Linked DNA regions of Drosophila melanogaster. The protein of the gene in region 1 interacts with the protein of each later gene in a pairwise test. Each region holds a gene or a part of one and is shown in the gene's direction. Other genes may lie near its edges.

Evidence for each region.
Region 2: the proteins of CG4168 (region 1) and CG10348 interact in a two-hybrid assay, tested with the Drosophila melanogaster proteins (one large-scale study listed by BioGRID).

What each region holds. Positions count from the first base shown.
Region 1 is NT_033779.5:15,196,571-15,202,799, reverse strand, and holds the start of CG4168 (uncharacterized protein), read left to right. Parts: upstream 1-2,340; 5' UTR 2,341-2,726; intron 2,727-6,229. Other genes in the region: Sfp35C (seminal fluid protein 35C), read left to right, coding at 736-763, 817-978, 1,038-1,093.
Region 2 is NT_033779.5:18,728,676-18,734,936, reverse strand, and holds the start of CG10348 (uncharacterized protein), read left to right. Parts: upstream 1-2,412; 5' UTR 2,413-4,040; intron 4,041-6,261.

The sequences.
Region 1 (6,229 bases):
ACACAATTGACTGAAAATTGTTTGTTAAATGTGCAGAGCGTTGAGCATCACGAAGGACATTTGTAAATGTATTTTTTTCGGATTAGCCGAAACGGCTTACACTCAATCAACCTAAACAATTTCCTGAACAGATTTAAGTTATTTTCTCATGAATTTTAAATCAAATCCATCTAAAGTATTTCCGTTGCTGTCCTCATAGTTGCACTCAGTGCTATAAAAATAAGATTACATTTTTTCTAAGTTTATCGAATCGATTGTAACTTCTTATATACCTCAATTTTATTTTCAGGTTGTGACTGAGCCGATTTTTTTTACGAAATCGACTCTAAGCATATCTACAATGAAAAATTGGCATGCTTAACAAATGTTTTTTGTGCAGCATTTTTTGAAAACGTATATTACTATGAAGCAGAATCCAATTGTTGTGGTCTTACAAAGAAAATTAAATAATTATTATTTTACATATTTTACCTTAATGAGTTTAGTTAACCCGAAAATTCTCAAGCTGAATGAATGAATTTAGTGGACTACCGGTTAGCTATTTCTTCTGACTAAAATAAGTTTAGAGTCAATCGCACATTCATTTTTAACATGTACTAAACGTATTATACCATCTCGTACAAAATTTAATTGGATTGTAATGCTTTTTTAACGCATTTAACCTTAACCAATATAACCAATAAAATGCAATGTACTTGAGACTGTTTAAGTCAGTTATAATCGGCTACTATCATTATGAAATTGTTTTTCTTAGTTATTCTGGGTAAGCTAAAGATTTTCTAAATATTTTGATCATTCTTATTGTTAATCAAACAGCCTGTATGCTAATCGGAATTGCATGGGGAGAAAACTGCAATAAGCCGTGCGGAAAATGCATCTTGCCCACCTGCAATTATGATGGCAAATGTTACTTTGAGGGAACTAGCGCTTGTGCTCTGGAAAATGAAAAGTGCCGACGAAAGAAGAATAATCTTGACCGTGAGCTTTATGTTTGAAATGTTTTTTACCCGATTTTAACTTCTTTTAAATGTATTTAGAATTCGTAAAAACCGTGTCTGGGTTCTGTGAGATGGGCGTTAAAATGTGTAAATAGCCAAATAAAATGTTTTCAATTGAATTATATAAATTAAATATATTTCTTTTAAGAAATAAATAGTTCAAAAATAGTTCAATTGCTGTTTGTCCACTATTTTGATGTTTATTTCATTTGGGAGTTTTAAAAAGGGTATATGATATGATTTTTAACCATAACTTAGTTTCGCCTTAATGAAATAATCTACTGCTAGTGCTACAAGTCCAATTGCTCCGTAGTTTGACCGATGAAAACCTCAAGAAGACAAATATGAGGAACATTTTACTTTGCCACTCAAGCCCCAGAAAAGCAAACCCAAACGAAACGAAACGAAGCGAACCAAACCGAGCCACCCAACTATGAAAAATTTAAACTTTGCATCCAAGCCATTTATTCATCCTGCTTGGCATCTGCCATCATATCTTAGCATGCGGTTCTGGCTTCGTCCGGAGTTCTCTGCCCCCATTTTGCATCTTAAAGCCTCCATCTTTATATCTTTAACCATCTCTATGCTCTTCGGTTCTTGGGCAGTTTGGGGTGCACCTTAAAAATTAATTGAAACATCACTACCGGCTAATATTGTAGATTAAAAACAGCAAAAGGAGCTGTGCTGGGTAAGAGGACCGAAATGGGCCGCACCTAGATGAGGCATATAAAACTTTTGGGGTTAACTGAGTGCTCTAAAAACGGTCAGAAACTTGCAAATTGCCAGTATGCTTGGCCATTTATCAGTCTTAGTTGTGGGTTAGTTGGAAAGAATGTTCCACAATAAATTCGAACAACAAATTTGGCTTCTTCTGGAGTTTATTAGCTGGCCGCCGGAATTTTGCGGTCAAAGGGCGACCTGAACTTGAATCTGGCCGGTCGGTCGCCCATCTCCCGCACCTCACCCCCACCATCCACCTATTGTACATCCATCTTCGTCTTTGCCCCCATCAAGTCACTGTCCAGTTTAGAATTTCTTTGAATACTCCGCCTGATGACAGAGCATTGCCAGATAGCATACTAATTCCGGCTCAGTCACTGCGCATGCCCAGATGCTCCGGTAATCGTGGGTCTTCGGGCTTTGGGGCTCTCGCACCAGCGGCATGGGTCGTGTCAACTGACTTCGGGGGCTTCGGTTTTTGGGTCTGTTGCGCCTAGGACAACAATTTCCGTGTTGCATGCCTCGCCTTCGGGTGATCTAAAAACGAAGCGAGTGTCGAGGTCGCCAACGTGCCATAAAATGCGCATAATGTGGCACGGATGTGCCAGTCCACGTTGGTAATTTGGCGCGTGAGCATCGCCGATTATCATTTTTGCCACAAGTGGCAGCCCGTATAGTGATGTTGCTGGTGCAACGGCAACATTTCGTACCTCTAGCCGGCTAGATAAAATCGCGAAATGGTGACCACAAATAGATAGGCTTTGATAGCCGCGAAGCATTAACCAGAGATCGTATCGGTCGAGGGAGATCCGGCAGTGCTTATGATACCAAAAGTAATCAAGCGGTGATTGCAAAGTGAAGTGATCAGTAATCAAAACTCAAGTGGCACGAAAGCAGAAAGAGCAAACGAAGGAGAGAAAAGTAGCCTAGGCACATGCAACAACTGGATACGGATACGCTTTTCAAGCCCTGAACAGCCGCCGACCTACGAACCCACCCACAAGTCAAGTACGTAACAGATTGATGAGCAAGTCGCCGTCGCTGTCTCAAAGAACCACCCACTCACTTGGCCCCCCCACATCATCATCCTCATCCACCTCCTCCTCCTCCAACTCCCAGCCACTCACTCGACCAGGCACTTGACTAAAAGTTCAATTTCCTGCAAGATGCTTTAATTGAAGCGCACAGTAAACAAGAAACAGAAGCGGAGAAACAGAAAACAGAGTGGGCAAGGGTCACTCGTCGCCTTGGGTGCCTTCGCTCTGGTCAGTCATTAGTCATTTGCTCATTTCCGCAAACGCAGCCCGGATGTGCAGCACTTGTCAGTCAATAAACAACCTCGACGGGGGGTGGATGATGGGTGGTGGACGGATGATGGGTGGCGATCCACCCACTCTCCCAATTAAATGTGGCAAACGTATCAGCGTCAATCACCGATTCTGATGGCCAGGCCAGTGCATCCTGCCGCTTCACTGGCGTTTCCACAGATCGGCTGAGGCATCGGGAAAATGTCTCGGGCTATTTACATTGCCGTCCAAGGGATTGGATGCAATTTCGATTGGTTCATGGATCAGGTTGGACTTGCTTAAGGTTTTAATTTAACAAGCAAATGTTGGGTACCATACACTTGCAATGATAGTTTGTTTTATTGAGAGCTATTGATAAACTAACAGCTGTTTGACAAACAACTAAAATAACAGCTGAGAGTTAGTCGAAATGTCTGTAGATTTGGCAAATAAAATATATAAACACATGTGTGGTTTTTAACAATTTTAGATCAATTTTAGTTTGGTTGCAAATTTGGTTCCCAAAAATTATCGCCATTTATATGTAGCAAACAATAGGAAACTACGTATATACAAATGAAATATAAATGTTCATACAAAGATTTTTTTCGAAGGAAGGATTAAAAGACAAAGTATAAGTGTTTTAAACTTTTCTCAACCACTACATTTTTTGGATCTGTGTCTTTGGTCTTTAAGATGATGGAAAGAAAAAGTGGAACGCGCAGAAAAATCTGGAGGTGTAGTGTTGCAGTGGCAGTGGCAGAGTGGGTGAGTGGGCGTCGGTGGGTGGCAGGGGGAGTGGCGACTGCATATGTGTCACACATTGAGTTTCTTGGACAACAATAACCAAGACGGACAGGAGCAGGGTGCATCGCAAAAACGGTGCATAGGTGCTAAAAAAAAAGAAACAACGAGGAGCAACAATGGAACGGAGGTGGGGAAATATGGGGAATGTTGGGGGGAGTACGCAAGCTAACCCAGTTTTTTTTCGACGCTGGTTCTTCACAGCTCAGTTTTGTTTTGGGCCTCCTCTTTTTTTTTATTTTGTCTACTGCTGCTTGGTACATTTCTTTTTATGGCTTTTACGAACTGGCCGCAAAACGACGACGACGAATAACCAACTTCACTGACAGCAGAAGAAACGAAAATATTTCGACCAAAAACTGCCAGACTTGTCCAAAGCCACCCACCACCCACCACCCACCAACCCATCCCACTGGATGAAACCTGTTTTGTAATTGTTGTGTTTTTATTCCGAGTATGCGTGTTGATGCGGATTTCTTTGGCTTTCCCAGCGCCTTCTGGGCTCTAGCTTCTTGCCTGGGCCATTGTCACGTAAATCTGTGACAGAAATTAGCCTCGTTGACAAAAATATGCCTGCTTACACATTATTTGTACAAACAAATAGACGGGCAACAGTTAATGGGCGTGGAGAGTGTCGTCCTCGTGGTGCCTCTGGGTTCCATGGGCACCGTTCCATGGGGTTCTTGGGTTCTTCTGACGGGGGTGTTGCAGATACATGGGTCTGGAGAAATTTGCATGGGAACTGCGCCAGTTGACGCTGTTATTTCTTGGCCTCTTTTGGGCGAATTCCTCAGCTAGTTTTGTGGCTGTCGTCCTGTCGGCTTTTCTTCTTCGCCTTGTTTTATTGATCTGTTTATGCTTTAGGACCTCTGGCCCTACACTTCCCCCCCATCACAGCAATCTCTGTCAAACCCTCATCATGGATAAACAAACAAAAAAAGTTTTATTTGTGGACTACTGAAAATGCAAAATAAAAAAAAAGAAAACAAAAAGCAAGGGATGCGGGGACCGCAAATGTGCTTTTTCGGGGCAAAGTTGTGCCTAGGCTAATGACCAGACAGGCGTGAAGGCAATCATAAACTGCGTACATTTCATCCTCCCACACTTCGCACTCGAAGTTAATTTTCCTTGACCAGAGTCTAGCCAGGTTGGAAAGTTTACTCTAGCTCTTAATCAACTCATTATAATGAACAGAGAAATAAAATATCCATAACATGCCGTCGATTAAATTATTTGGTTGCCTTACGGCACTTTTGCTGATTGACTTTATGGAGTTTTGGTCTGATTTTTTCCAATAAAATGTAATGAGATTAATAAATCAAATTGTTGCACATAAACGATTAATGCTATAAAAATGTATGCATGTATTTAATTATACCGCTTACTTTTAGAGTTAAGGGTATACAACATTCGTTGAAAAGTTTGTATCAGTTAGAAGGATGAGTTTTCGACCCTATATTTTTTGAACATTGATATTAAGAATGCAGATTCTAGAAACGGCGAGATTGTGCATCTTACCCACTCTAACGCTGAGTACAGGGTATCAGATAGCCGAGGAAATCGACTCTCTTTTTTTTATTATTTGTCTTGTCAATTTCTACCGGCATGCCAAACCATTTTGGCCAAGCTCCTTTTGAAATACAAGCCTGAGTCGAATGTTTTCAATAGGATTTATATTTCTTGTAATCATATAAAATTATTTTATTACAGACAGAGGGAAAAATAATTTTCCGAGATTGTGCATCTTACCCACTCTAACGCTGAGTACAGGGTATCAGATAGCCGAGGAAATCGACTCTCTTTTTTTTATTATTTGTCTTGTCAATTTCTACCGGCATGCCAAACCATTTTGGCCAAGCTCCTTTTGAAATACAAGCCTGAGTCGAATGTTTTCAATAGGATTTATATTTCTTGTAATCATATAAAATTATTTTATTACAGACAGAGGGAAAAATAATTTTCCGAACTTAAGCCTTGGCCTAGAAAGTTAAAGTTGAAAGTCAAATAACGGACAATTTTTGACGTCTACAATATCCTTTCGAACCCGGACCCCTAATTACCTGAACCTAACCTTAGACACACAAAATACAGAGTCAATCTATCATGCGATGGGTGTTCTCCTGATTAACACGAAACTTTGCCCAGGCCGAGCAACAAAATGATTGATGTCCACTACAAAATTTTCAATGTACATATCTACCCCCAGAAAATCGTTCACTTATTCAGGCTAGAATTCAGCTTTTCGTACGTTTCGTAAACGTTGGCTGCATAAACTGTTTATCGAACCATTCGGTTTTATGTCACAGCAACTGATTGATTTTTAATTAAACGTCCACGATTTCACTGATTGACGCTAATCATACGCTTGATGGGCTTAAGCTCGGCCACGACCCCTCTCTTAAGGGGTGGCTAAATAAAATG
Region 2 (6,261 bases), 3.5 Mb from region 1:
TACAACATATATTATTCGTGCAATAACATGAAATGCTAACCAAGAATTTATTCTAACTGAACTGAGTATCCAATAATGCATATATCTTTCATACCCCATCTATTTTCTGGTTCAATCAAACACTCACTCAAGACCAAAGTTCCGGCATTTCACCGTCAATCTCCTCCGCATTCCACCACCCAATTGCAATCACTCCACAAAGGATGCCCCAATCATCCAACTGAATTCCATAGCTGACCCACATTCCTCCGCCACGCTAATTAATAAAAGATAATCTTCAATTGAACTCATTTGCAGCACACTGGCCATCATAACAATCCTTTTTGGCCACAGAGGCCCAAAATGCAAGCCAGCCGACTTCATATTATCAAACCATCAATCAAGCGAAGACAACAAGGCGCTTCCCTGCCCGGAAAAGCAGCAAAGCAAGCGAAGGAAAATGCTGTGCGGGCATCGTGTGGAAAGCGGGAGCGGGTGGAAAAAGGAAAGGCCATTAAGGAAAAATAGAAAAATAGTTGTGAACTCATTGACTCAAATAAATAACCAACGACCATGGCACGCGGCCGACGCTGCGAAAGATGAGAACGTTGAGGAGAGTGGGTATCTCGGCCTTCGCAGCTTCCTCTTGGCGGGATGAAGATGATGGCAGATCATCAGCTAGAATAACAAGAGGAGAACAGCTACAATAACAGCTCAAGACGCTACGGAACCTGGAGATTTGCAAATATCTGAGCCATAAAGCTGCCAAGTGTTGGCCTGGCCGATCATCAGCATGATGGCAGCGGAGAAATGGACAGTGCGGACTGCGGACTGCGGACTGTGGACAAACGACCTGATGTGCATGGGGTGCGCTGTACCTGTAACGGTAAAATTTCTACAAGGGAATGTGCTTTCATTTTGAAGTGTTGTATGTCCATGCACTTGGACTTGGACTTGCGCCAAAAAATCAAAGCAACCAAGCTACTGTTAGACAGCCGCAGCGGCCGGAGCAGCGGCAGCAGCAACATCAGCAACTTGCAACAGCAACTAGCAACGGCAGCTGGCAGTTAGGCAGTTAGTCACTTCACAAAGTCATTTTTGATTTGATCGATTTCGTGCAACAGCAACAGCAGCCAGGCACCGCAGCAACATCAAGAGTTCCAGTTGCTGCTGCTGCTGCTATTGCAGTTGCAGTTGCAATTGCTGCTGCTGTTGCAGCTGTGTGAAGTGGCCAAGAAGAAGGCACATGACATGGTCTTGAACATGGACATGGACATTGAAAATGCCCGATTCCAGTCTCGTGCCAAGTAGGACACACAAGTTAAGACCAGAGACCCTTCTCTGACCGTATGTTAATCTGCGATCAGTGAAAGAACCCGTTGAACTTTCCCATTCCCCTAAAGAGTGTGCACACAGAGAAATGATGGGATATTTCTAGACAAGGAGAAGGAAATCAGTCCACAAAAGATGTCCATCGGATTTTTGTCTTTCCTACTTGGTTAGTTTTGCCAAGAGTATAATAGTTTATAATAATTTACAACTGGGTTTTAAGTGTGATTATCCTACCAGCTATTTAAAATAATTAAATACTGATCTAATCTTTAACGCGTAGATTCATGAATAAATGCATCTTTAAAATTAATTCAAAAGTTACATTCCTACAACTAAAATTCGACCCATTCAACCCAGAAGTAATCTCTTTTTCTTTAGGTGCACCCCCCAAGTTACTAGAATGTTGTCCGCTTGTGGCCCGCTCGAGCTTCCAGCGGCGACTGCTTCACGCTCACTTTTCAGATACAGTATCTCGGCGTTTTGTGGAACCCAAGTGAAGCGGCCACGAGATCGGCTTTGGTTCGGGTTCGGGTTCGGGTCTTGAGATCGGCTCTCTGTTCGTCGTTGGGGCGGAAGATCTCCACCCAGTTTTTGGATGCAGGTCTAGCGCTTTTGGAATTTTCATTGAGTAAAACCAGGCAGGATGCATCGCGCGGATCGCTCGGCTGGCGGCCCCTCATTTACCGTTCGAAACTCGTCTAGGCCAGAGCATCTTTGCATGTGTTCGTGTATCTGTGTGAGCACGTTCGCTGGATCGCTCTACATTAAGAAAGAAGTGTATTAGCTTCGATTTATTGCATCGTTGCCTAGGCCCCTGCTTCTGCCTCGGTCGCTGCCTCTGCTGGCGTCGCTGATGCAGTTGGCGTCGCTGTCGACGCTGTGGATTGTGAGTCTCGCGTGGAAGTGGGAATCATCACTGGTGGATCGGGGATCGGTCTTTTATCGTTGTGTATTCATTCAGAGCACCCATACACTCGCCGAAGACGTCGTCTATTTTGCGTTTTTTCCTTCTGTTATGTTTCTGAGCTGAGCTGCTGCTCTTTTCTTAGCTTTTCGTTATTAGGAAATCGAAAACTGAAGCTGCGACTGCGACTGGGTCTATCATCAGTCCGTGAGACGGTCTCAAAGCTATTGGTCGTGTTGTCGCTTTTGTCGGAAAAACAGCAGCACGTAACGCTGAGCAGAAGAGATCCACTACGTAAAGCGGTCGTAAGACGTAACGCCATGCGATCGGTGATAACGGTAAAACATTCAAAATGAAGCGCTACCGTTTTATAGTGAAGTGAAGATAGGATCGCTTAAGGATACATCCTAAATACAAAATATATGTTATGTGTAAATTAAAAGCATATGCAAATGCAAATTCCTAACTGTGTCAATTTCATCCTAGACAAAAACAAAAAGAAACTATCTCCAAACTCGAATCCTCCTATAGACAATAAATCGATACAACTTTGCTGTAAATCTCGAATAAAACGTACAATTTATGCTCCTCTCACACAAATGAAATCACAAATTGCTTAGGAATTTTATGAACTACGCCCAGTACGTGGATGATGTGATATTAAAACACTTGCACAGAGCGATGCATATCTATGGCCTATATATACCAGAGATCGGTGCTAAATCAATGATAACTACTCGCTTAGATCCAATTAATGCAAATTGTGACAGCGCGTAAATGCAAAGTGATCCAAGCCGAGCTGCACGGAAATCAACAACAAATGCCACCGAGACATGTGTACAGGCTGATGATTATGGGCAGACATTAAACAGACAATCCATAATGAAATTATAAAATTGAAAAGATTATAGCCCGGGCTGAGCGATCGTCGAGAGGAAACTGAAACGACTGGGAAGTGCGGTGAGATTGGATCGAAGCGGCTTGGCCGGGGATCGATGTCAACTCCGGGGAGAACAGCTCGCCAATTAAAACGTATTAAATAGAGAAATACATACATATAATAAAAAGTAATTCTAAGCAACTTGTATCATAAATCAGACCAAGCTGGCCAACGCGAGTGATTGTAAAAAGTGTAAAAAGATCAGTAAAATATACCTATATCTCAAAGTGGCAACTTCCCTCGTATATACGTACAACTAAAGCTCCTAATTACCATAAATCTAAAAGTGTTTTAAATACAATAATTTATTAAATACATTCAATCAACATCTTTTACCGTTGACTACGTTTAATTGATAATACGAATATTGGCAGCCAGACAATATTTATATAAAGTTGTACAAAGCTATTTTCTGCTATACAAAAAAAACTACCTAAAGACTATCCTATACCAACTTAAATCCATCCGAAAAAATATCCCCTAAACTGAAGTTCCCACGCGCCATCGGATATCAAAGCTAGATATATGCAATATATCTTATATCTTGGCCCGATCACAGGATGACTTACGCTCCACTACGACAACAACAAAAACCAGCTGAAGCAACAACTATAACCACCAGAAGATCAAATTTGTATAGCAGCCAATGCCAGTCGAGTTATCAACATCCGTAAGGCCGAGAGAGAAAAATACGCTGCAATAGCCAAACGGTGCTCAAATGGTGATTTCTTCCTGCCAGCGGCCAACGGATATCCGTGCGGATTTTATACCAACAACGACCATCGCAGCCACGACAACGAGTTGTGCAATTAGAGCAAAGCTGCACAATAAACTAGAAGAGGCTGGCAAATTGATGCTACCAAAGCGATCAGAAATATCAAGCATGTAAGTTGAAAGATATGCACAAGACAGATTGAGGTTGAGCAAAAGACAGTAAGATACTTTTTCAGAAAGGGGCAAAAACAATATATAAATAAACACCTTAGAATATCTAAATTGAACATAAAACCACAATATCCAAGAAACCTTCCTGCCATTACGTTAACTATAATACATAAATGAATTTTAAAACTCTAATGAACCACTACGGCTTAATTTAATTGATTACAATAAGCACCATCACAGGATCAACAAATATTAGACTTAATGTCAACTGAGGAACATTTACCACCAACAAAAAGTTGATAGATGAATTTTAGTTTTTGTATCTGGCTGCCTCGCGATCAGCAGACACGTATTCGAAAGATTCAAGGCTTCCACCGCTCGAAACTGTATTTTTCTTGTATTGTAATTGATGAATGAATGAAATTGAAGTTCGAGTAATGACGCAGCGATTTCGTGGGGCGGCATTAAGATTTAGCCAGGCCAAAAAGACGTTGCGAGCGAAATAGAGTTGTCCGCGCACAGATACAGACACACTTTTTAATTTGGCAATCAAAAGAAAAAATAAATTATATAATTTTTCTCTTTTGGCTACGCCTAGATTCACGCACTATTGGCCCACCGAGCGGGCATGGAATGTATTTTCTATAAATTCGATTGTTTCCTTAGCTCAAGAAGAGTGTTGTGCTTTATTTTCGAAAGTGATTAATAGGTTTGACATGTTACTTTTACGCTAATTGAGCGATCAAAATCGAATCGAAATGGTGAAGGGCGAAAGGGTAGCAGCGGCGATAATGATAATCCCCGAATGGAATAAAAGTGTCCAAAAAGCGTTTATGCGTTAAATGCACGGAAATCGGCCGCATGTATCCGTCAGATGCAGATACATACATTGAATCCATAGGCATTGGGGCGATTAGTAGCGCCTTTCGATTTTTTTTTTCGCCCCTCGTTTTGGAGTGAATGTTTTGGGCGCGTCCATCGCAGAGGAGGAGTAACGAGGGGTGGGGGCAAATTAAGCAGGTTAATTTAATTTTAAATAGAAGTCGATGGTCGGTCGGTTGGATACAGATTTTTTACTTTTCTTTTTGTTTTTGTTTTTGTTTTTGGGAGTGCGGTGGCAGATGGGCGTAAAAGAAGCGCCCGAAACAGAAACAACAGATCATTAATTAAACGTTTGGAGGTTAGTGAGTGGCCAAAAAGCCAGACAGGTTGATAGAAGCCAGTCCCTGTTCCAGAGCCCCAGTAATGAAATAAACTATTAGACCATTTGATCATTAGGCGAGGAACACGAAATAAAGCGAAGAAGTGACGAATCGATGGTCTGCGGACAGTTCAATGAAGTTCTCAAAAGGCGAGGTCCAATTTAGATTGTGTGAATAGATACACATTCATCTACTTCCCATAAATAATATTTTGAATAAGACGTTCACGGGACTTAAGGTAGTATAACTCACTTAGCGCGTTTATTTGAAACAATAGGTTAGTACATTATTTATCTAAAATGTTTGGACAAATTGGAACAGCAGTTTCTTCTATTATAGTTTTCAAATTTGTAGCTAATACTTGAACTATTATGAGCTGGCTGGAAAATAGCAATAAAATTGCGATAAACCATAAAGCATTGTTAGGGACCGTGAAAAACTTTCGCACAAATTCACACACAGCCCGTTTCACTGAGGTGGCGAAAAGAAATTATGACACTTGATCGTTCGGGGGCAGTGAATAATTTGTTTACGGCATTAAAATGCCAATTAAAGTGCGAGTTGGCCCGAAAGGAAGTAAATCGAGTGAAATGAAATGAAATGAAATGTTTCAGAGATAATCTGCGAAATGATGGCCATGACGCTATATATAGCAAAGCCGGGTCCCCAGTCCGAACCGCCACTACAAAGCTCCCACCGCCAATTGCAGTGGGAATCGCAGGGGAGGAGGAGCTGGTTGCCCACTGGCAAGAGCGTAATCCAAGGTAGTTAATTGCGCCTTAAACCGGAAGCGATGGCTTTGATTGCGTTACACATTTTGCTGGCTGCGAACGGAATGTGCGCTGATTTCAGCTGCCCTCTCTTTCTAGCCAGCTCAGGCCCTCTCTCTCTCTCTTTATTTATCTATCTATCTATATCTACGTGTATTTTTCAATTTAAACTCTATTTTCGTTGGCTTTTCGATGACGATGGTGATGATGATGATGATGGTGACGGTGACTTCGATAACCGCAGATCGG